Oryza sativa Japonica Group: one gene and its partners. The main gene of each other region encodes a partner of the protein of the gene in region 2 in a complex. Links are inferred from orthologs where the notes say so. Each region holds a gene or a part of one and is shown on either strand. Other genes may lie near its edges.

Evidence for each region.
Region 1: protein TIC 55, chloroplastic (region 2) and protein TIC 22, chloroplastic share a complex: the UniProt entries of both Arabidopsis thaliana proteins name them as parts of the tic complex. The link is inferred for Oryza sativa Japonica Group from reciprocal best matches to the Arabidopsis thaliana genes TIC55-II and Tic22-IV.
Region 3: protein TIC 55, chloroplastic (region 2) and protein TIC 20-v, chloroplastic share a complex: the UniProt entries of both Arabidopsis thaliana proteins name them as parts of the tic complex. The link is inferred for Oryza sativa Japonica Group from reciprocal best matches to the Arabidopsis thaliana genes TIC55-II and Tic20-V.
Region 4: protein TIC 55, chloroplastic (region 2) and protein TIC110, chloroplastic share a complex: the UniProt entries of both Arabidopsis thaliana proteins name them as parts of the tic complex. The link is inferred for Oryza sativa Japonica Group from reciprocal best matches to the Arabidopsis thaliana genes TIC55-II and TIC110.
Region 5: protein TIC 55, chloroplastic (region 2) and protein TIC 40, chloroplastic share a complex: the UniProt entries of both Arabidopsis thaliana proteins name them as parts of the tic complex. The link is inferred for Oryza sativa Japonica Group from reciprocal best matches to the Arabidopsis thaliana genes TIC55-II and TIC40.

Annotation. Positions count from the first base shown.
Region 1 is NC_089040.1:5,940,983-5,945,818, forward strand, and holds the start of protein TIC 22, chloroplastic, read right to left. Parts: upstream 3,270-4,836; 5' UTR 3,092-3,269; coding exon 2,651-3,091; intron 2,566-2,650; coding exon 2,503-2,565; intron 2,065-2,502; coding exon 1,990-2,064; intron 1,234-1,989; coding exon 1,189-1,233; intron 334-1,188; coding exon 274-333; intron 225-273; coding exon of another isoform or gene 195-224; coding exon 123-194; intron 44-122; coding exon 8-43; intron 1-7. UniProt on the Arabidopsis thaliana protein: Involved in protein precursor import into chloroplasts. Imported into the intermembrane space via the Toc translocon. May be involved in the import pathway used by proteins without a cleavable N-terminal pre-sequence.
Region 2 is NC_089036.1:34,182,890-34,187,180, reverse strand, and holds protein TIC 55, chloroplastic, read right to left. Parts: upstream 2,467-4,291; 5' UTR 2,373-2,466; coding exon 753-2,372; 3' UTR 628-752; downstream 1-627. UniProt on the Arabidopsis thaliana protein: Involved in protein precursor import into chloroplasts. Part of the redox regulon consisting of TIC32, TIC 55 and TIC62.
Region 3 is NC_089036.1:30,722,139-30,725,872, reverse strand, and holds protein TIC 20-v, chloroplastic, read right to left. Parts: upstream 2,329-3,734; 5' UTR 2,106-2,328; coding exon 1,422-2,105; 3' UTR 1,011-1,421; downstream 1-1,010. Other genes in the region: transcription factor BIM2, read left to right, coding at 15-53, 160-337, 425-572, 656-776, 876-932. UniProt on the Arabidopsis thaliana protein: May be involved in protein precursor import into chloroplasts. Not redundant with TIC20-I, TIC20-II or TIC20-IV.
Region 4 is NC_089044.1:19,356,342-19,360,447, forward strand, and holds the end of protein TIC110, chloroplastic, read right to left. Parts: intron 3,323-4,106; coding exon 3,168-3,322; intron 3,061-3,167; coding exon 2,938-3,060; intron 2,833-2,937; coding exon 1,846-2,832; intron 1,563-1,845; coding exon 1,311-1,562; 3' UTR 977-1,310; downstream 1-976. Other genes in the region: uncharacterized protein, read left to right, coding at 340-471. UniProt on the Arabidopsis thaliana protein: Involved in protein precursor import into chloroplasts. Forms a voltage-dependent cation-selective channel at the inner envelope of chloroplasts, which specifically responds to a transit peptide.
Region 5 is NC_089038.1:22,289,918-22,294,831, forward strand, and holds the start of protein TIC 40, chloroplastic, read right to left. Parts: upstream 2,934-4,914; 5' UTR 2,855-2,933; coding exon 2,662-2,854; intron 2,153-2,661; coding exon 2,038-2,152; intron 1,958-2,037; coding exon 1,900-1,957; intron 1,813-1,899; coding exon 1,795-1,812; intron 486-1,794; coding exon 233-485; intron 94-232; coding exon 1-93. Other genes in the region: uncharacterized protein, read right to left, coding at 3,788-4,267. UniProt on the Arabidopsis thaliana protein: Involved in protein precursor import into chloroplasts. Part of the motor complex consisting of a co-chaperone (TIC40) and a chaperone (HSP93) associated with the import channel (TIC110).

The DNA of each region.
Region 1 (4,836 bases), on a different chromosome or scaffold from region 2:
ATCCTACCTCCATTTTCTTCAAGACATCCTCCAAACTCCCAACCTAAAGAAACCACAATTTGAAGGCAACATCATCAGATCCTAGGAAAGCAATCAGATATTATAACGATAAAATCACATACCATGATTTGCTTAGATAAGGCAGATCCTCTAGAAGTTTTAGAAGCCTTTGTAAGTTCTCTTTCTATGTCCTCCTGAGCTAAGAAGGCGAAAATGGTGAAGACCTAAATCAGACCGGGTAAACTACATGAAAGAAATTGAAGCCTGGCAAACCTTTTGAAAATATATCGGACAGTAACGCTTCTTCTGTTTCTTAACAACCAATAGGTCTGACTGCACATTCAAATGGGACATTATTGCTATTGGAAAGAATAAATCACCAAATGCTGAATATATCACTTAATGTCTTAAATAGTCTGTACTTAGGATAGAACGCTATGATAATCAAAAACAGCTATCAGCCTGTCAAATTCACAAGTCCAGTGCTGCAAACAACTGAATAATTGGAAAATCATACATATAATGGCACAATATCTTGAAACAAAGTGTTCAAGCATCTCCGGAAGAAAGTTAAGCATTCTCTCCTGCCATGATGCTTTTATTCCACGTGATTTTTCATGTCATACTGCAATAAACATGTAACCAACTGCGTTGATGGACCTAAAGCTGTGTACTTCAGTTTTTTCCTTGATAAGAAAATCAGGGCTTCCCTTGTTCTATGACAATCGAAACATCAGAAGATCTGATATTCCATGAAAAGGTTTAGACTACTGCACGCCTAAACTTTCAATTGAAAATTTTTGACTATCCGTTTATCTTCTAGTCCTATTTTAGTACAACAAGTCGTGCCAATAAGATAAGGCTAAAGCTTCACAAAATGATGCACACATGTGACAAATAACGAGAAATTATGACAGGACAGTTCATGCATTTACATTTAATAAATAGGCATGGGCTAATAACTAACAGGAACAAGCAGATAGCTTCAGAACCTACCTATTAGTCCATGCACTTTGGTAATATTAAGTTCACGAGTAATTTATACTGAGTCAAGATATTAATCAGCAAATCAACTTTAATACATTTATTGTTAATATTCTAAAATACATTTAATAATCGCAAAGGGTATGTCTCAATGCTTTCCATAAAAGTATATTTTTCAGTAAATAATACAGACATGAGTATTACCTGGAAAACAGGAACACCATCAAAAGCAGTTAAGCCAGATTTTAACTGAAAAAACGAAGGATAATCGTCACTGGGCTGAAGTAAGTTTGTTAGCATTCTTACATTAGTGAAACAATGCATAAGATAGCAATAATCTACATACTATACACTGTTAAGACGTCAGCTCTGATATACTCATGATTCATGAGTGAAAAGGCATGAGTTGTACATTCCATGATATACTCTGAAGTCTAACCACTGAATGTGGACAGTCCACACCAAGAAACAGGAAAAACAATACAGATTATCTATATTTTAAAATGCCACCTTCCCATATGTTTTTTTTTCTTTTGCAAGGAAGGGACTTTCTCCTTATGAAATAGGCTGACATGTGACAGCACTCCATGTGTTCTGCGTGCATCTGTCTAGTGTATGCATATCATTTGTGCATTCTGGTGAAGGCAATGATTAGTGACAGTACAACTTCTCTACCAATAATATATACAAGGAACCAAGTCCATGTGTAAAGTCTTGAGTGGTGATACAGAAAATAGGTACACACATACCCAAACTGCAAAGATCTCGGACTGTTGGTAAATAGTTAAAAACATTAAATGGGAGTAAAATTGGTATATAAGGAGTCCATTGGAATTTTGGAAGATGCAATGGCTGCATTGATGCTTTTAAGGAGTAATGCTGTCAACCTGAGGAACTGAATTCCACTTTTCTAGTGAGATAGAATGATGGCCAGATGGGCGTACTAAACATATCCACTTATAGATAAGATGGAGCAAAGAGCCACAAATCCAGAGAAGAACTAACCTCCAACGCATTCTTAATTTGAAGAGGGTCAGGTAAGAACCGAAATGCAATACCTTCAGCCTTCAACATGTAAACCTGCATTTAGAAGGACGGCTTAAGGTATATTTACATTGTAAAACATAAAAAATAATCAGCATAGTTAAATGTAAGCAATATACTAGTTGTATTGAATGAAGTAGAAACGAGTGAAGTTGCAACGAGGCTAGCCTAAGCCCAAGAACCCTCAAGCATGAATATGCAAGAAAAGCATGGGTGTTGTAAGAAAAGATAGACTAAGCTAGGTAAAAGGGGCAGCACATAAGAAACGGCAGCTTTCCTTGATTTGCTCTTGGAAGAAATCCAGGTCCCACTTTGCTACTCGTTAATATGTCATTCAGTTACTAAATTATCATACAACTGTATGTCCCTATTTAACTCTTGCATAAACCCAAATGCTCCATAACTCTTCCTATGCAGAGTTGGTCCTAGAAGAGTGATGACAAAATTGATCACAAAATATCGATTTAATCCCACCTGATCAAGCGTAATCGGCACCACTTTTGCCCCTCTCCCTACCACCGGCTGCCGCATCCTCACCTAAACCACACAAACTCCCAAACCATTAGGGCGAAAAGAACAAATCAAACAGCAAAAGGCATAACAGATGGGAAGATGAGGATACGTGGGTGAGGAGAGCGTCGGCGTCCTCGGAGCGGAAGCAGAGGAGGCCGAGGGAGCGGAGGCCGGTGGCGGGGTCGGAGACGAGCACGAACTCGTTGCTGGAGTTGCAGACGGTGAAGACGGGGGTGCCGGTGAGCGCGCGCGCGACCTCGTCGGGCGCGAGCGCGAGGGAGAGGGAGGCGGAGGCGCCCTGCGGCCCCGGGGGCGCCGCCGACGCCGTCACAGCAGCGAGGGCTGGGCGCGGCGGCGCGGCGAAGCGGGACGCGAGGCGGGAGAGGTGGTGGTGGAGGAAGGAGGAGGCCGCGGCGAGGGGGTTGGGGGGCAGCGACGAGGAGGAGGAGGAGGAGGAGGGGGCCGACGGGTTGGACATCGGGGCGGCGGCGAGCGGGAGGGAGGAGGAGGAGGAGGAGGAGGAGGAGGAGTTCGGCGGCGGCGGCGGCATCGTGGTTGGCTGGTTGCTGCTGGGTTTTCGGCACGCGACGCGACGGACGACTTGGATGGCGGCGCGCGGAGGTGTCGTGTTGCTCGGCGTCGCCGAGGAGCGGGCCGCGGGCGGCGTGCGGATTCGGTCGAGCCGCACCGTCTGGCCTCGTGGAGTCGTGCTGCACTGCAACTGGTGTGGCCTTGGTTGGGTTTGGTCGGGGGGTTTTGCTTCGGCCAATCCATTATCATTTTTTTTTTCAGTGAAAATATGTTAAGCTCAATTATCAATTTTTTTCAGTGAAAATATGTTTAGTTACAACTTACAATATGGAGGATGAAATTAGCTTCTAAGAGCATCACCAATAGAATTGGAATTATTCGCCCCTAAATTTTTCAACTCCGCGCACGCTGTCTGGGGAAGAACAGAGATCCAAGGGTGAGTGGGTGACTACCGTCTCTGTACCTCTACGTATCATGTGCTGGCCAGCGCGGCTTGCCTTGCTTAGGTGGAGGTCCAATTGCTTGCCGCATTGGCACCTCATCGTCGTGGAGGCACAGGCGGCACGGGGAGGGAGCACAAAGGAAGAGGAGGGGACGTGGATCGGATCGAGCTACGACGTAACGTCAGGTGCGTGCACTGTCCATCTATCATCCAATGGCTGTTGTTTCTCTTGCCTTCAGTCCAAACAAATTAATCAGTCTCCTTCTTAAAAAGCCCAAATTAATCAGTCTACTTCTTGAAAAGCCCTCAGAAAAACAGAGATCTAAGGGTAAGTGGGTGACTACCGTCTCTCTACCTCTACACATCATGTGCTGGCCAGCGTGCAAAGGAAGAGGACGGGACGTGGATCGGATCGAGCTACAACGTAACATCATGTGCGTGCACTGTCCATCTACCATCCAACGGTTGTTGTTTTTCAGTCCAAACAAATTAATCAGTCTCCTTGAAAGCCCTCAGATCCAGCAAGTAGCTTTACAGATGAGGCAAATATGAGGACTGTTCAAATGAGTATGAACGCACGCACGCAAACCTTACCCCTATGAGCATCTTCGAAGACTGGGCCGGCAAATGCATCCTGGAGATTGACGAAATCACCACGGGCGCCTCGTTGTCGACGGGTACGTCGCCTACCACTGAAAGCACAAAGCCGTTAAATGCTGAAAAGTTTGCTTCCATGGGGAGTCAAACCCAGGACCTAAGGTGCTACTGAGACTCTTGTAACAACTATGCTACATGCGCTTTCGCAAACATACTTAGCCATTATTATCATTGACTCATTATGATATTATATAGCATCCTTATAAATACCAATACAATTAAAGTACTGCGGACTAATAAAGTGCCAAATCATTAAATTGTCCATTGTGGTGCCTAAATTATCTTGGCCCTATTAACTAATGATTAGTGTAAGTAACCATTTTCTCAATCATCGATTGCGTTTTAGATATTATCTTACTTTTTTAACCTCTAAAAATCTATACTAGTATAGCCTTTACCAAACACCAATTGAATTCCCCTTTGTTAGTAAGCTATCGATGGTCAGTTTAAATTGGGGCCTAAAGAGATCGACAAAGATCACACATAATTTCTCCAAATCCCGCAGTGATCGATGAAACGAGAGTAAAAATAGAGAGTGGAATCTCCGAGACCAAAATCAAGTCAACACAAAAGATGTGCAAAAACACAAACATACACAGCACAGCGCGCAATCTCACACAGTTACGTACGTACATCGATCCTGATCACGCACACTTGTCGATCAC
Region 2 (4,291 bases):
AACTGCTGAGATCGCATCCTTTTGGAGCATCATCTATCTTGTCAAGCTTATTTGCAAATAGCTAAGCCGTCTCTCTATGTGTGGTCTGTAATATTAACCGTGCGTAAACCAGTGGCAAGAAGTCCCTGTCCGTGTCATGGTTATCGAGTCTGTCTACTTAATAACGTGTGATACCAGGCATTGTGCCTGTATTTTAACAGTAAAAATTGGGTACGTTGTTTGTGTTTGTATATATATTGGAGTTGGTTTACCTCAGCTGGATGGAGTACCCTACATTCGCATTGTACTGCCTACGTTTTATATTACAAGTCATTTTAACTTTTTTTTGAAGTTAAACTTTTATATGTTTAATCAAGTTTATAGAAAAACATAGTAATATATTTAACACAAAACAAAAAAAAATCAAAATATGTTTAATGTTAGATGTAATGAAATTAATTTAGTGTTATAAGCGTCGTTATATTTTTTCTATAAATTTTATCAAACTTTCAGGAAATTTAACTTGAAAAAAAAGTAATTTATAATATGATGGAGTGTACTAACTTTGTATGAGTGCAAGTGTGCAACCATTTGAGAATGCAAGGCATTGGCAGTACGATGCAGATCATTCATCACTCATAACAAAACTATCGATAACTAAACGTCGTTTACTCATGTAGTGATACAAATATACAAGGGCAAAAATAATGAAATAGCTGTACCATTCTACCTTGCTATTAGTATGTGCCAAAGCATGACAGCCATTGCCACGGTTACAGTCTCCTGTGTGTCCTAATAAAATTGGTCGTGATGAGAGACAGCACCCAGTTACACGCGTACGACGCCGCGGCGAGCGCGGCCGCGGACGCCAGCAGGACGGCCTTCAATTGCCTGGTCGCCGCCAGGATGGCCGCCGCCACCGCCGCCGCGGCGAGCGCGGCGAAGGCGTTCTTGAGCGAGGCGTACCTCTTGACGCTGTCCCTGCACCCCTTGCAGTGCACGACATGGCGGAAGTACCTGTTGGTCGGGTTGGGCGCGTGCGTGGCGCCGACGCCGCCCTTGGCCGGGAACGACGCGGACATCCCGGCGACCGCCCCCGCCGGCGCCTGCTCGACAACGGCCGGCACCGGCGGCGGCGACAGCGTGCTGTGCCCGAAGTAGTACGGCATGCCGTGCCCCGCCCTGTCCATCCACCTCCGGTACTCCGCCACCCACGTGTCCGACGACCGGAGGTTGAGGTAGAGCTCCTTGGTCGGCACCTTCTCCCGGAGCAGCACCTCGTTCTGCGACGACAGGAACCCCATGTCCTGCTCGAACACCTTGCACGCGTTCTGGTGGAAGTACCACCTCGGGAGCACCTTCACCAGCGGCGACGTCTGGGTGGATCCGAACCGAACGAGCAGCATCGACTTCCCCTGCCCCGCGGGGCGGCAGAGGAAGTGCGCCGAGAAGCACTGCTCCTTGCCGTCCTTGTCGACGAACTCCAGCGTGTTGGTAAGCACGCACGGCGCCTCGAACCGGAGCAGGTTGCGAAGGTGTGGCGTCCTTTGCTTCCCCCAGTATCCGGCGAACCCGCGCGGCGTCCGCTCGGTGACCTCGAAGAAGAGCGGCTGCGCGTCCTCCCGCTTCGCCGTCCAGTCGGTGCGGTCGTGGGAGATGGGGACGTGCGCGGGATCCATGAGGTTCTCGAGGAGGATGGAGTGGTCGTAGGGGAGCTCGTGCACCGTGGACAGGTCGGTGAACCCCGGCCGCGCGTACGGCTCGAACCACGGCAGCTTCCGCTCGTCCGGCGGGTTGGTCCCCGACATCCACGCCCACACCACGCCCTGCGAGTCCCGCACCTCGTAGCTGCGCGCGCACGCGTTGCGCGGGATCTTGGCGCCGTCGGGGAGCTGCGGGATCTTGACGCACTTGCCCTCGCCGTCGAACTGCCACCCGTGGTACAGGCACTCCAGCTTGCCATCCACGAGCTGGCCCTCGGATAGCTTGGCTAGCCTGTGCGGGCACCGATCCTCGTGGCAGCGGAGCACGCCGGCGGCGTCGCGGTACAGCACCAGCTGCCGGTCGAACACCGTGAGCGGCAGCGCGGCGTCGTCGGGCACCTCCTTGGCGAGGTACAGCGGGTACCACTCCTCCCTCCAGTCGTATCTCGCCGCCGACGCGTCGTCCTCCTGTTCTTTGGGGAGAAGCACGCCGTCCTCGACCACCGCCGCCGCCGCCCGGCACCCTCGCCGTCGCCGCCTCCCGCCAGCCGTCCACCGCACGCCGCCATGTGCCACCGCCGGCGGCGGCGTCCTGGCGCGGCGCGGAGGAGTCGCGGCGGAGGGGGAGATCGGGAGGAGGAGGAGAGAGGAGAAGGGCGACGTGGTGGTGGTGGCGCGAGGCGTCGTCATGTGGATGTCTTCTTGGTTTGGCTCGCGATTTGCTTGGTGGAGAGAGCTCGCTTCATCTCTCCGTATACACTCCCGCGGTCGCGCCCGCTACTACGACTCTTCTCTCGCTACATTTCACGTGTGTCCTTGTCACGCAACTGCATCCCTGCCTTGGCAAGTTCATGCACATCCTCGCGAATTCCACACGACACTACACACTACTCCTTTGACAGCTACCTGGAAGGAATTAATAAAACTAGCATGGTGGCCCACGCAATATTGCGCGGCTAGCATCATTATATTTTCTCTCATATAATAGCATATATATTCTCTCATTATATTATTCAAATATATTAAAATGACAACATAATTTTAAATTTTGCTATAACTTTACGAAACTACTAATGTGTAATATTCATATTGTATTTTATATACATGTTAGTTATTAATTATTTTTAATATCAAATTTTAGTTATTTATAAATTATATATATTCCTATATGGACTCTAGACTCGTCTTTTAATATTTATTTTTTTTGAATTCTGAATTTTTATTATTTATAATTGTATTTCTATTTGGACTCTAAACTCATCTTTCAATATTTTTTAATTTTTAATTTCAAATTTCAGTTACTTCTAAATTGTATTCCTATATTGACTTTAAACTCTTCGTCCCATATTTTTCTTAATTTTGAAATTTAGTTATTTGTAAATTATATTTTTATACGAACTCTAAACTCTACTTTTAATTTTATTATGTTTATTCTGAATTTTAGTTAGTTTTAAATTCCTATATGGATTCTATACTCTACTTCTAATATTCCTTATTTTTTTAAATTCTGAATTTCTATTTTTTTTTCTTAATTGTATTTCTATACAGACTCTATACTCTACTTCTAATATTTCTTATTTTTAATTCCGAATTTCTATTATTTCCTAATTGTATTTCTATATGGACTCTATACTCTACTTCTAATATTCCTTATTTTTAATTCCGAATTTCAGTTATTTCCTAATTGTATTTCTATATGGACTCTAGTCTCCTCTTCTAATATTCCTTATTTTTTAATTCCGAATTTCAACTATTTCTAAATTGTATTTCTATATAGACTCTAGTCTCCTCTTCTAATATTCCTTATTTTTTAATTCTGAATTTCAGCTATTTTTAAATTGTATTTCTATATGGATTCTGCCTTTTCTTTTTCTCCGATTAATGTGAGAATTTCTAGGCCATGAGAGCGAACGTGGAGACTTCTTTTTCTGTTCCTTTAACAATATAATAGATTGTTATGCATACAATCTAACCGTTCGATTTATATATGACTGAATTTGATTAACGGGTGTAAATAGCTACCTTGTACTTCTTTGATTGGTATTGGTTGCATATCTCTAGTTATATAACTAAGTGGCATGTGTAGCTCAGGAATTAATCATCACTACGCTATTAGAGTAGGTATAATAGTAGGCTATAAGTCAGCTGTAAACATATTTTAAGAAGATAAATAAGGAGAGAGAAGAGCAGTGGGCTATAGATTTGTAGCCAGCCGTAGCACGGACTCCAAGACGCCGTGTGTGTATGATATGTGGGACCAGGTATTAATAGTGTAGTATGTAACTATTATATAAATAAGCTATTAGATTGACTATAGATAAATTAGAGCTGGTAGTTTGCTATACTATTTGAACTTGCTCTTAGTAGCTTATGATTTCAGTTGAAAGTTAATAGATCAATGGTAATCCTGCCTAGGCCATGTATCAGAATTTGTATGTTAACCTATCCTACTACTAGTAGTAAAAGTGGCACTCATGACTCATGAGCACGAATTGCATTCGCTCAGGGGCTTGAAAAAAGGTAGGGCATTGGCAGGACTAGTCCGGCAATGCGATCATCCATTCATCCGTGTGACTTGTCAAACGATGAAGTAGTAAAATGGGTTCACT
Region 3 (3,734 bases), about 3.5 Mb from region 2:
TTTTTTCTTGGTAGGCAAAAGTCTACTATAGATCATGCTGGAGAAACACAAAGGTAATTCCGTAAAATAAAAACAGCAACTGAAAGCGAATGCACAATTCATCATAATCATATACCAATGATATGTACCCATCCTTGTTTCTTGTTCATGGTCTCACAGAACACCAGTCAAGTCCAGGGGGAAGATTTGTCACCATCCACACAGGACATGAACAACGAACAGTACGGTCCCAAGCACATATCGGCAGCACAACCTGCTCTCTTCAACACACAGAGTGTAACCAGTACAACCACCAGTTCCTCCCACATGGCAACAGGCACACCACAAAATTTGGAAAGTAAGTCCATTTCTTATCACCTTTCAACAGTCAGAATTCTTGTAATTAAGAACTAGATCCACTAACTTTAATGTCTTTTAAACGCAGAGAACAGCACACCCAGCAATCAGCCACCATGGCTGAGCATGTCAACAATGCGCCAAGAGTCTGAACCAGGCAACAAAATGCCGAACAAGCATGAGAAACAGACCCTTCACGATGAAAACCATAGTATTTCTAGCGCTTACTCTCAAGGGTCTGTTCCTTAACCATTTGTTACTTCAAGACTAAAGTTAGCACAATATGTAACTAACAGGATACTACTTCAATTTGCAACAGATTATTCAACAGATTGACAGAAGCTCTTAAAAAGTCAGGACTAGATCCATCTCAAGCTAATATAGCTGTAGAGATCAACCTGGCCAAACGAGCAAGAGATAATACTAGTGACAACTCAAAGGTATAGAGCTTTACAAAGTTGATTTATTCATGATGTTTGAACATATAGATCGTCTGCTTAATAATTATTTTGTACCTTTGTCCTGACTTCACATCACAGATCAATGAAGATGAAGAGCCCATCCAAATAACCAAGAGGCGGTGCAATAAAAGCTAGAACTTTTTCTCCAAACTAGAAAATTCAGACATCATCAAGTTCAGACAATAACTTGGTAGCAGCAACCACAATCCCCAATTGATGCAATTATTTTATTTATATTGCAACAACAATTAACTAACCTAAGCATCCATTCATATACCATTGAAGCTCCTTCAGGGGAGGTCTTGAGGACACTCCCCAATTTCTCATTCATCATCTGTAAATGTAGTCCAGAATTCCATATTCTATAGCGAGTATATGTATTGCTATCTCTAAAAATTCCCAATTCAACTCATTCGTTCATACACTTGATTGTAAATTTTGTAATGCCATTGTACCAACCTTCCGTAACTCCATTCATTAAATTGGTTACTACAGCTGTAAATAATCACTGTACTAAACTGAACTTGTGAATTTGCGATCTACTAACATCAATGAGGCATCGAGATGGATGTGTATATCATTTTCCTTTGTTCCTTTTCACCAGCAAGATTTGACAAAAGCTCATCACATCACCTGGCGCTCGGCTGCATCTGCGACGATTGGCAGCCGCGGCGTCTTCCCTAGCAGGCACGCGCCCCCGCCGTAGACTAGGCAGACGAGCAGGAAGAGGAACACGGTGCTCTCCATACTCTGGAAGAGCTCGAAGCCGATCCCGCCACCGGTGGAGGGCGCGAAGGACTGCACGAGGAGGTCGGGGAAGATGAGCAGCACGTCGAGCGCGACGGCCTGCATGGCGTTGAAGCGGACGAAGCGGGAGAAGGCCTGCTGGTTGCGCACGACGGCGAAGTAGAGGGTGAGGAAGAGGAGGAAGGGCGTGAGCGGGGAGGAGCGGAAGAGGCGCGCGGCCGGCGCGAGCGGGCTGAGCAGGGTGCTGAAGAGCGGGAACTGCGCGAGGAGGAAGCGGCCGTGGTGCACGCCGTCGAGGAACGGGTAGAGGTAGGCGACGGCGGCCACCAGGCGGTCGGGCGCCTCCACGGCGCCGCTGTTGTCGTTGTCGTTGTTCGGGTTGGAGGCGCGCGGCGGCGGCGCGGGCAGGCGGGCGCGCGTGGCCCATACCCCGAGCGCGGTCTCGCCCGCGTGGCCGAGGAGCAAGGGGTGGCGCGCCTGGGAGCGTAGCGCTGGCACCGGCGCCGCGCGGCGGAGCGGGCGCGGGGACGAGAGGAGGAGGAGCGAAACGGCGGATGCCATGGAGAAGGGATTTGGTTGGGGGAGCAGCGCGGCGCGGCGCGGCGCGGCGGGTGGGAGCTGAGATTTTTGCGGGTGCAGTGCCGTGAGGTGGGGGAGTTTGGCTGGTTGGGGGGCAGTGGCGCCGCGCGGCTGCGGCCACCGGGGCGAAGGCGAAGCGGGGTTGGGAGCGTGGAGATTTTTCCAGATTTCGGTGGGATGTGGGGCATGTGGCCGAGTGGGAGACGAGGAGATTGGTTGGTGGTGCCTGGTGCGGGAGGGCAACGGCGAGGGCGCCGCGGCAGGCAGGAAGAGCATTAGATGGGCCAAAGCTTGCGGCGCCGTGCTGTTCACTGGGCCGAAAGGATCAGGCGTACTGTTTGGGCCTCGTCTGAGACGCGTTTTGCCGGTTTTCCTGCGTGGGCTACCAGGCTTTCGTCGTACCATATGCATCGCGATTTCGTAATGGGCTAAGGCGTTGTACGCCTCTCAAGCTGAACTCCGCGCGCGCGGCCCGTAATGCCCGTAGTGTGTCGTTCAGCCGTTGGCACTTGACAATTGGCTGGCAGCGATCTGACACACACAAGGAAATGGAGTGATTTTCGTTGTACGAACTGTAATAATGTGTGATTTTCGTTTAATGGATTTGGATGGTCCTGTAAAAGAAAGGGGAGAACAGCTGCAGCCTGCAGCAGCGTGGCACGTTAATCTTCCCTCCGTTCCACACCCGAGAGTTACCTGACTGACTGCTTCACTAGCACAAAAGCAGACTACAAATCTACCAGCATGGTTTACTAATTACACGAGCTATGCAGCTTGCGGATCTACCATTGCCTCATACTGCCATATGAAAATTCATCAATCTCATCCCCATTGCCTCCTACTGGCACGTTTCCCGTCGAATGGAGCACTAGTAAAATTAAATTAAACTCGATCCCAAGATGGCTCTTGCGTCAACGTTAATCCTCCAATCCATCGCACAAAACCAGGCGCATATGCACGAGCTCGAACGTAGCAGTCTAGCAGAGCGATCGCCTAGGGATCGGTTGCACGTCGAGTCCCTCGCGCGCGTTGACGAGTAGAGATCGGCAACGAAGTGGAGACGACGAGGCACTCAACCCCGTGCACTGTGGGATGGGCTCGGCTCGGCTCGGCCGCGCGCTCCGTGCCAGATTCGCGCGCATCTCTAGCGGCTATTCTCGCGGTGGTTCACTGCATTTCGAGCTGAGTGCTCCAACGATCGATGAGACGATAACGAGTAGGACAAGACCACTTAACTGCTGGGTCGCTCTTGGATCAGTGCTAATCCTATCTTAATCGCCACTGAAAACAAGATGCACTGACTCGCACGTTAACAAGTAGAGGCATGTATTACTTCGATACACCACCACAGCACAGCCGTGGTAAAAAAAATGATACATCACCGTGCATTCTGGTGTTCTATAATACACAATCAGAGCATATATACACCCAACAACCAGCAGCATCTGTTCAGACTGCTGAAACAGTTGGTAGTACTACATGGTAAAACTTCAGGAGACGGAGAGAAATTCAAGATGCAAGAGCAGTAATGTCTGCACAAAGTATGAAAAACCTGATATATAACAATTTCCTTCATGAACCATGATCGGTAACGTTCTGTTGAACTAACTT
Region 4 (4,106 bases), on a different chromosome or scaffold from region 2:
CTTTGGCTTCCTTGTAATTCTCATTCCGAGCATTGTATTAATAGTTCACTATTATCATTAGTTCTACTTAATAGCCTTTTTTATTGAAAAATACTGATGACTGCTCTATAGTGTAGTTCAGTAAAAAGGTTTCAGACTTTACAGATAAACGTGGTTACTTGCATCGTTACTAATTGTATTGGTACCAGTTATTCTTTATGCATTATAATACTTGTCTCATTTGGTAGCTAATACTGCTGCTTTGATATGTATTTGTTCATCTTCAACAAGCTACTTTTAGTAAATCACACTTACTGATGGGATTCTAACTAACTGATTCAAACGTGTTGCCCTTGTCAGCTGGAAGCACCGAAGAAGAAGGCCAAGTTGGCCGCGAAGAGGATACGGAAGATGCAAGAAGAAGAGAAGCGGTTACAAGAGAGGGAATTTGAAATGGCTTTCTTCAGGGAATTTTGGCCCGATAATGTGTAGAACAGGAGGTTAACCTTGCTGGGCGGTTCGACCTGCTGGCTTCAGCTTATTAGGCTCCCTTGTACAGAACAACAGCTTTGACTCCCTTGTTGTATGTGGCTAAAATGTTTACATTGATTCAATGGATGTTTCTGGAGAGAATGCTGGTCTTGTATCATGATTTTGTTGTATAGAACTGTTTGCAATGCTGTTACATGCTGGCCGAATACCTTTTTTTTTTGTTACCAAACTGGCAGAGTACATTCACTTTACAGTCATAAAAGGAAAAATTTTCATCCATAATCGCCCACCCCCACCCCGTTTTTTTTTTCCCAAAGTGGCCGCGTTTATTTTTGAAGTCATAAAAGGAGAAAGTTCCATCCATAACCTGAGGAATTGGAATTTGAAATCCCATCGCATAGCATTTGGTGTGTGGTGTACACACTCAGTTTGATAATGTAAACTGAAAGAAAAATTGCTGAAACATATTGGCTACAATGACCCATACAAAGGGACACATATCATATGCTGCAGTTGAGCTACAACAAAATCGGATTTTATGACTGAGGTAGCAGTGGCGACTGTGATACATAATGAAAAGGGGAAGAAAAAAAATACAAAAAAAAAAGCTCTCGCTATGGTCTGAAAATGAAAAATGCAGCAAAAGAGATTTGTCACCAAATTCGGTGCCAATTTCTGTCTATACAAACAGTTAACGCACGTCAGGATTATGCGTTGCTTCTCAAAACCATATGCCAGCGCCTAGCTACAATAGCAGCGGTTGGCGCCACAGCACCAAGTATGGTAGGTCCTCAACTCTGCTGGCTACCTAACAAAAAAAGACCTTCACATCTCCCTCCCTAGAATACCAATTCATCCTCCTCTTCAGTTGCAACGGATAGTGTGCCTGCCGATGCGGCATCCCGAATCTGGCCGGCCTTCTCGTCGCTTATGCCAAGCAGATACTGCAACCTTGACAGCTTTTCAGGCTTCGGAATGCTCTTCATGTAAATGCCGTACAGATCATCCAGCTCTCCTGATGTAGGCCATGATAGGGGCTTCGAAGCAGGCACAGCCGCGTCGCATGCAAGCAAGTCGTTCAAGGATGCGACCTGCATTGGCAATATATTCCAAGTAAAAATTAGAACGCTGAGTAATTCTAACAGTGCAGTTATTGTAACTTTCCTATTTATACTCTAGTTGAATTTCTTTTGTCATTATGACGTGCCAGTTATCAAGAATAGGTTAATCCTGATATACACCAAGATCAAAGTCAACGCTAAATCAGTACTTTGATAACTGTAGTCAGTGTTTTAATCTTTCAGATTCTTGGAGAAACTAAGTTCCAACATAAAACAAATAAGTAGGAGATATGCAGGGATATTCCTTACGTACCACTTCATCTTTCTTCTTCTGCCGAAGCAGAGCAACAGCTTGGACAAGGGCGTTATCCAACCTAATCTTCGCAATGTCCTGGACAATCGACTTGGCCTTCTCAGCATTAATGATGAGATCAGCTGGGATCTTTACATACACTTCCTCTTCATCAAATTCACCTGTGCCTGACGAAAAGATCTCCTCAACGGATTTTTTGTAAATGTTTTCTCGAAGTGGTTCTGCAATCAAGCTGTCCAATTGAAAATTTGCTTCTTTCAATCCTCGGACCTGCTGTATACCAATCTGTCCTCGAGAAATAGAGGCTTCAATTGCAGAAGACAACTTTGTTGTTGTGATATTCTTGATTATTTTCTGTGCATACTCAGTAGGAAGACCAACTTGCTTCTGTATCTTTGCAAGCTGGTCAGCCTTGGCCTCTGTTAACTTCCCATCAGCAAGAATCACTTCAGCCTGTTGCACAAATGCCTTTTCTGCCATCTTAATGTGAACATTCTGAGCTTCCTTGCGGGTTAAACCAAGTATGTCTCCTAATTGCTTCAGCATTAAATACTCTGAATTATCTTTCTTTGTGGAGATTGCTGTTCCAAATGAAACATTGGTCGTCTCCCCAGTGACACAGAACACCAAATATGTTTCATACAGCTCAGCTCTGTCTCTCAATGGAATGTCATCTTTGAGGGTTATCTCTTTCTGGCTTGACTTTGCCAGTTTCTCTCTGAGCTCTTTATCAGGCCTAGTTTTCCTTAATGTCTCCAGCTGTTCCCATTCGTATTCATCATCCCCCTCAGACTCGCTGACTTCAGGTTCTGAGGTTGCATCTGATGTTTGAGGTTCAGCAGTTGTTGGTTCTCCTTTAATGTCAGCTAAAAGCTCACTCACAACTACTGTGTTGAAGGATATCATCTTTTTCAGCTCTTTTGCAGTTTCAATGCGGTTCCCAGCTGCTTTTGCTCTCTGAATGTAGTTCAGGAATAACTTCCGTACCTGGTCATGGATTTGGTAATATAGAAGTGAATTTCATTCACAGTAGGAATATATTGAAAAATAATATCATCTAGCACTTTTTTTTGGTAATGGGGATTAACATACCACTTTGCTGAAAATGGCCATGACAGACTCGTTTTTCAAATTCAGACCTTGTGCTGCCTTCTTAACAGCCTGTCGTCTATTAGTGTCATATCCATCAACAGATGAAATTGCTTCCACGACAACCTGCAAAGCACTAACGGTTGTAAGAACACCACTAACACAGAACAGGCCATCAACTTTGCCTGAACAAGGGAAATATAGAACAGGCAACATAGAATATTTCATATCACCTTTTCAAACAACTTGCCACAGATTTCTGAATGGACAGCATCAACAGTTTCTTGTGGAATGCAGAGACGCACTTGGAATGCCATCAAAGCTTCCACTTCGTCCTTGTTCAGCTCTCCATCCGCTACAAACTGCTGAAGCTTCTGCCTGTAAATGTCTGGAGTTCGAAGGAGCATAATATGAGTGGGTATTAACAATATATCAAGGAAAGCAACCAGGAGAGAACATCTCGAAAAAAGCATGTTTGCCAACTAATATTTAATAGAGATAATCCAAGAAATGCCATTGACAAGCATCCAAATCCCAGAAATGCCATCAACAAGTGTGAGTTCCAAGAAATGCCATCGTACAAATGACTTTGTCCCAAAAATGCCATCGCCGTTAGGGTTCCGTCCATTCCGCGCCATTAAGTTCTATAGGACGAACAGTGTATTTTACAGCGCAGAATGGAACAGAACCCTAACGGCGATGGCATTTTTGGGACAAAATCATTTGTAGGATGGCATTTCTTGGAACTCACACTTGTCGATAGCATTTCTGGGACTTTGATGCTTTATTAAAGCATGTGATGATGTACCTTAAGATGGAATGGTGAGGAATATCTTATCTTACAAATAGTAATGCTGTTTAACATGAACATAGAGACAAATAGTACTTCTAGTCCCACCACATTTGTCTTATTTCTTTTCTATTGGATATCCATTCCTAATCATGAGAAGCAATACAGCCCAGATGAACCAAAATGCAGACAACTGAATTGCTACAGATGTACTTCCTACATACGGTCTAGGATAACAATTCAGCAGTGTCAACATAGAGCTGATGGTGTATAGTGATTTTCTGCACAGAGCCATCAGGTGAAAACCAGTTCTCCGTTCAATAAATGACTAGGCAGTCGAGCTAAGCACAGGTATGCTGTGAAAATTATAGTGTAACAAGAG
Region 5 (4,914 bases), on a different chromosome or scaffold from region 2:
CACTCTGTTTACTCTCACTTTTTACATCCACTGTCTCCAGTGAAGATTGAAGTTCCTTTTGCTGCAACTCTTCAGGAGAAACGTCAACAAAGGCTGCAAACATTTTGTTACAATAACATGAGATATGCATGACAAAAGTATGAAGAAAACATAAGATTAGACACTAATCACAAGCTCCATCCCCTATTCACTGATAGTTGGAGAAGAATTCTCAGAGATAAACGGCCAATACCAAATTTCTTCTTTGGCTGTTCAGCCACATCAGCCTCTTCCAAAGTTCCAGTTGCTTCCACTTTAGTAGCTGAAACATCGACAGTTGCAGATTGAGGAGAGGTATCTTTCCTTGGTTGTGAGTATGGGTAACTGCTAGGAGCTGCAGGAGCTGCCTGTGGTGGCATGGCAAATGGGAAAGGCGAGTTTGAGCCAAAAGTGTTTGGCGGTGCCTGGGTCATCATTGACTTGAATGCTTGTTGCATTGCATATTTCTGCATCAGAATTAGCAATGTGTCAAAACTGGCAAGCAAGGGAGAGTTATACGATTTTAAGTTCCAACAAGACATTATACAGATCAAACCTACAAAGAGAACATTGTATTAATTAAATCAGTGCAACAATGGATACATCACGATATACTTTCGAGAAAAGAAGTGGTGCAACAATGTTAACTCTCTAGTAATTAAAAGAACTAGTGGAAGTGATGATGCTGTATCATCCTCACTTTGGATCTTTTATGGGTGAATTTATGTATACATGTGTGTTACTTATAGGTTTTTTTTGTAAAATATTGCACTATTTTACATGCCAATATTTTGAAGCTGGGTGAGGTGATATGATCATATTTTACATGCAGAATTTACATTAGAGGACTTCCTTTAGTCTTTTATATATAAAAAAATTTGATCTTAGTGAGTACTCCCTCCGGCTCCATAATTCTTGATGTTTTGGACAATGACACGGTCTTCAAAATATATCTTTGACTATGTTTTTCTATTATAATATATAATAAATATATATATTTTTACTTTTATTATTGTACTTTATAAGACAAATCTAAATATGCTGTTCTAGTACCTTTAAACTAAATATTTTTAAAGTTATTGGTAGTCAAAGTTATAAAAATTTGACCTCAACCTTGTCCAAAACGTCAAGAATTATGGAATCGGAGGGAGTACACCAAATTGTTTTGACATCCATCACAATGCATGGATATTATGCTATTTTATCAATATTGAAAAGAACTAGAAATTATGTGATAAGAAAATGAATTGTCTAACAAAACTACAATACTCCCTCTGTACTCGTAAAGGAAGTCGTTCTGGACAGCGACACGGTCTCCAAAACACAACTTTGACTTCTTGTTTCTATAAAAATATTTATTGAAAAGTGATATATGTATACTTTTATGAAAGTATTTTTCAAGACAAATCTATTCATATAATTTTTACATTTTCAAACTCAACAACTTGAGAGTTATTCATGATTTATATTCCCAAGGTTTGACTTAAACATTGTCCTAACATCTTCCTTTACGAGTACGGAGGGAGTACACTGCAACAGTACCACCTTTGCTAGAACATATGCCATGCATTGCTTCAAACTATTAAGAACTAGAAAGGAAGGCATGGCTCACATGTGGGTATGTAGGTTCATCACAAAAAAAGCTCACTAAAATACCTCTCTTGCTTATGTACTAGTATGCAGAGGTGACCATGGGTCATTCTCAAGATCAAGTATGCAATTGATAGGGTACATACCATTTGAAGATGTAGAAACAGAGGAAAGTTGTGAACTCACCTTTACCATCGAAGAGACCTGATATAACAGCCAACACCAAGTATTAAAATACAACTCTAAGAACATTTAATCACAAAAAAGCATTACAGGTAATTGTATTCACACCATAGAAAATGCTGCGGACAATGCTACACCAACTCCAATCCAGAAAACAGGCGAACCGCTGCACAAAGGATTTACATGTCATCATGCAGTGTAAGTTGAGAAAATTGTAGCCAGACAAAAGAAGGGAAACTGGCGCACATGTATGACGATGGGGGTGGCATGGGAGGTAGGGAACCCGTTCCAGTTGACATATTCTCACTGTTGGTCGAAGACGACATGCTTGCAAATCCATTTGTCTTTAATCCCTCGAAACCTGTTGTTACAACTAAACAATCAGAATAATGGAGATCCTCCGGCAGCATAAGATTAAAATGGGGGAAATCCTAAGCTGATTGGGATTGTCTATTCGTCGGCTATTACTACAAACAAGGACAGATATGCTGACCATTTTGTACTCATCATTTGCCACACTACCAATACTGGATAAGGTGGCCATTACTAACTCACCAACTGCCACCATACTACGAAAATAAAGACAGTATTCCATCACGGATGCATGACTTAAGGTCACTAAATTCGCAAGGATAACACACTCAATTCCACTAACGAAGCCCATGGCACAGCGATGGATCCAGCTGATACACAGAGTATAATAAAATTCCTGACAATCCCACAAAAAAAAACACTATAGCACGGACACTTGAAGCGAGCGCATACGAGAGCTTTCAGCGCGCACCTACCCAAAGAGCGCATCCGGCTCGCATCTAACGAACAAACCTAAAACGGAAGCACACCCACACAGAAGCACACCACCCCCCTCACCGTTCCCGGACCCGCGGGCCGCGGCGGCGGCGGCGGCGACGACGACGAGCTTGGACCTCCCAGCTCCCCTCCGCCCGGACGCCGCAGCCGTCGCCGGGAGAGTCTGCGAGGAGGGGCGGCGGCGGCGGGCCGCGGAGAGGGGAGGCAGGCGGGGAGAAGCGGAGCAGGAGGAGGCGAGGACCAGGCTCTCCATGCCGCCTGCTGCGCGCGCGGGGGGAGGGAAAACCCTAGCTTAGCTCTACTGCTGCTGCTACTACAACTACCACCCCCTCGCCCCTCCCCACTCGCGCTAGGGTTTTGGGTGGGTGGGTGCGCGCGTGAGTCGACGAGAGACCTCGGGCTCGTGTTGTGTAGGCTACGTTCCCCCTTTTACCCCTGCGGTGAGTGATAGGAAGCTGAAACGGAGGGGAGTCATCGCCTTCCGCTGCGTGGGGCTAGTATCCATCGCTATCGGGACATTCAGAGTTTCAGACTGTCAGCGGCTCATTTCAGGCACTAATTGCAGACAGCAACATTTAACCACTGATGAAAAAAAATAATACTACTACTAATTAAGATGCGATGTTTCAAAATTCGAATATCTCAAAATGCAATTCGGGCCAGTTCAAAAAATGAAAAGGGAAATCCAGTAAAGTCGAATAAACAACTTTTATGCCTTGTTATTAACTGACAAAGTTCAATGTTTTGGTTCTGAATTTGAGAGAAGAGAGAAAATTAAAGTAATCCCGTTCACCATGGAATGGAGTGTAACTAGTAGTAGTAATTTGTGCCATTGCAGAAATCATATCGCGTTCAATCACTCAAGTTACAAAAGTACAACGGTATACATGAATGAGAACATATGCATACAACCTTCAGTTCACTGTGCTAAGTTATTTCCCATCTTACAGCAGAACAAATGTTCAGAAAAGCCGAACGAGATATTCTAACGTTGAAGGGTTGCCTGCACATATATTTTGATCAAGCAAGGTAGAGCATCATGCAGATCAAACCAAGGGGATTATCTCCTGGAAATGCTAGAAGGGTGAAACCATCCATCATTTTACAGTCTTCCCGAAACCTCAAACAAGAATATGATGACCTTAGCCTATAAGAAAAAACTCGGTGAGTATCTCTGCCTCGTACTTCATATCTGCTGCGCTTTGGCTTTCTTCCGCGCCAGAGCTCTTTCTCTGGCAGCAGCAAGTGCATCAGCATTTCTCTTATAGTGTTCATCCGTGATCTGTGCTGGTTGAGTATTCTGTGGATTCTGGGTCTGAGGAGCTGGTTGGGTATTTTCTGGTGTCTGGGTCTGAGGAGCATCCAAGGAAACATCTGCATTTTTCTCGGTAGATCTAGCAGCAGCTGAATCCCTTGATTGAGTTGTAGCAGGTTCTTCCACACTTCTACTTTCATTGGCCGTCTCTGCTCCTTCACCGGAGTCCCTTTTGTGCTTAGGAGAGCGATCGGATACTTCAGCACCAACCTTGCTAGTTTTAGCATCTTGAACTTTCTCGTCTAACTTTTCAGGTTTAGCATGTTTTGTATTGTCATGTGTCTGTGCACCGAAAGCAACATTCTTACTAAGACCAAAGTAAAAATCACTCAAGTCTTTCTTCTTAGTAACCTGTACAAAAATAGACGAAGGAAACGTAATCAGTTACAGTGAGCCAAAAGAATTTTTTGTTGTGAACCATTAGAAGTAATTTTATCTTAGCAAATACTCCCTCTATCCCATAATATAAGGCGCGGTCAAAGTTGGCACGGTCTTCAAAACGAATGTTTAGCTTATAATTTCTCATATACCATAAGGTTTGTAGTAACAAAATTATAACCATATGAATGTAAATTTAAATCTCGATCTAATGGTATAATTTTTAACAAATAAAATTCATTTTATATTATACTAAGTGTTGGTCAAATGTTTGAAATGTTGAAACTTCAAATGCATGCGCGCCTTATATTATGAGATGGAGGGAGTATCTGATTTGGAGATAAACAAAACTATTGCATTAATTTGGTGATCAACAAACATATTTCAGATTCCCGAAAGGTTGCTTGTGTAAGCAGCAACCAGAAGATAGTGTTTTTCGTAACCAGCAAAAAGCAAAGTGAAGACAGTCCTTTAAAAAGAATGCTAAAAACATATAAAAAAAGGTAGGTTTACAATTTTGCATAGCAATATAACATAAAAATAAGTGAAAAGGTCCTCTCTTTTCTCTCTCGTACTCTTCTAGCAAGACAGATGGGGCATGCAGCACACTAGTGTGAATT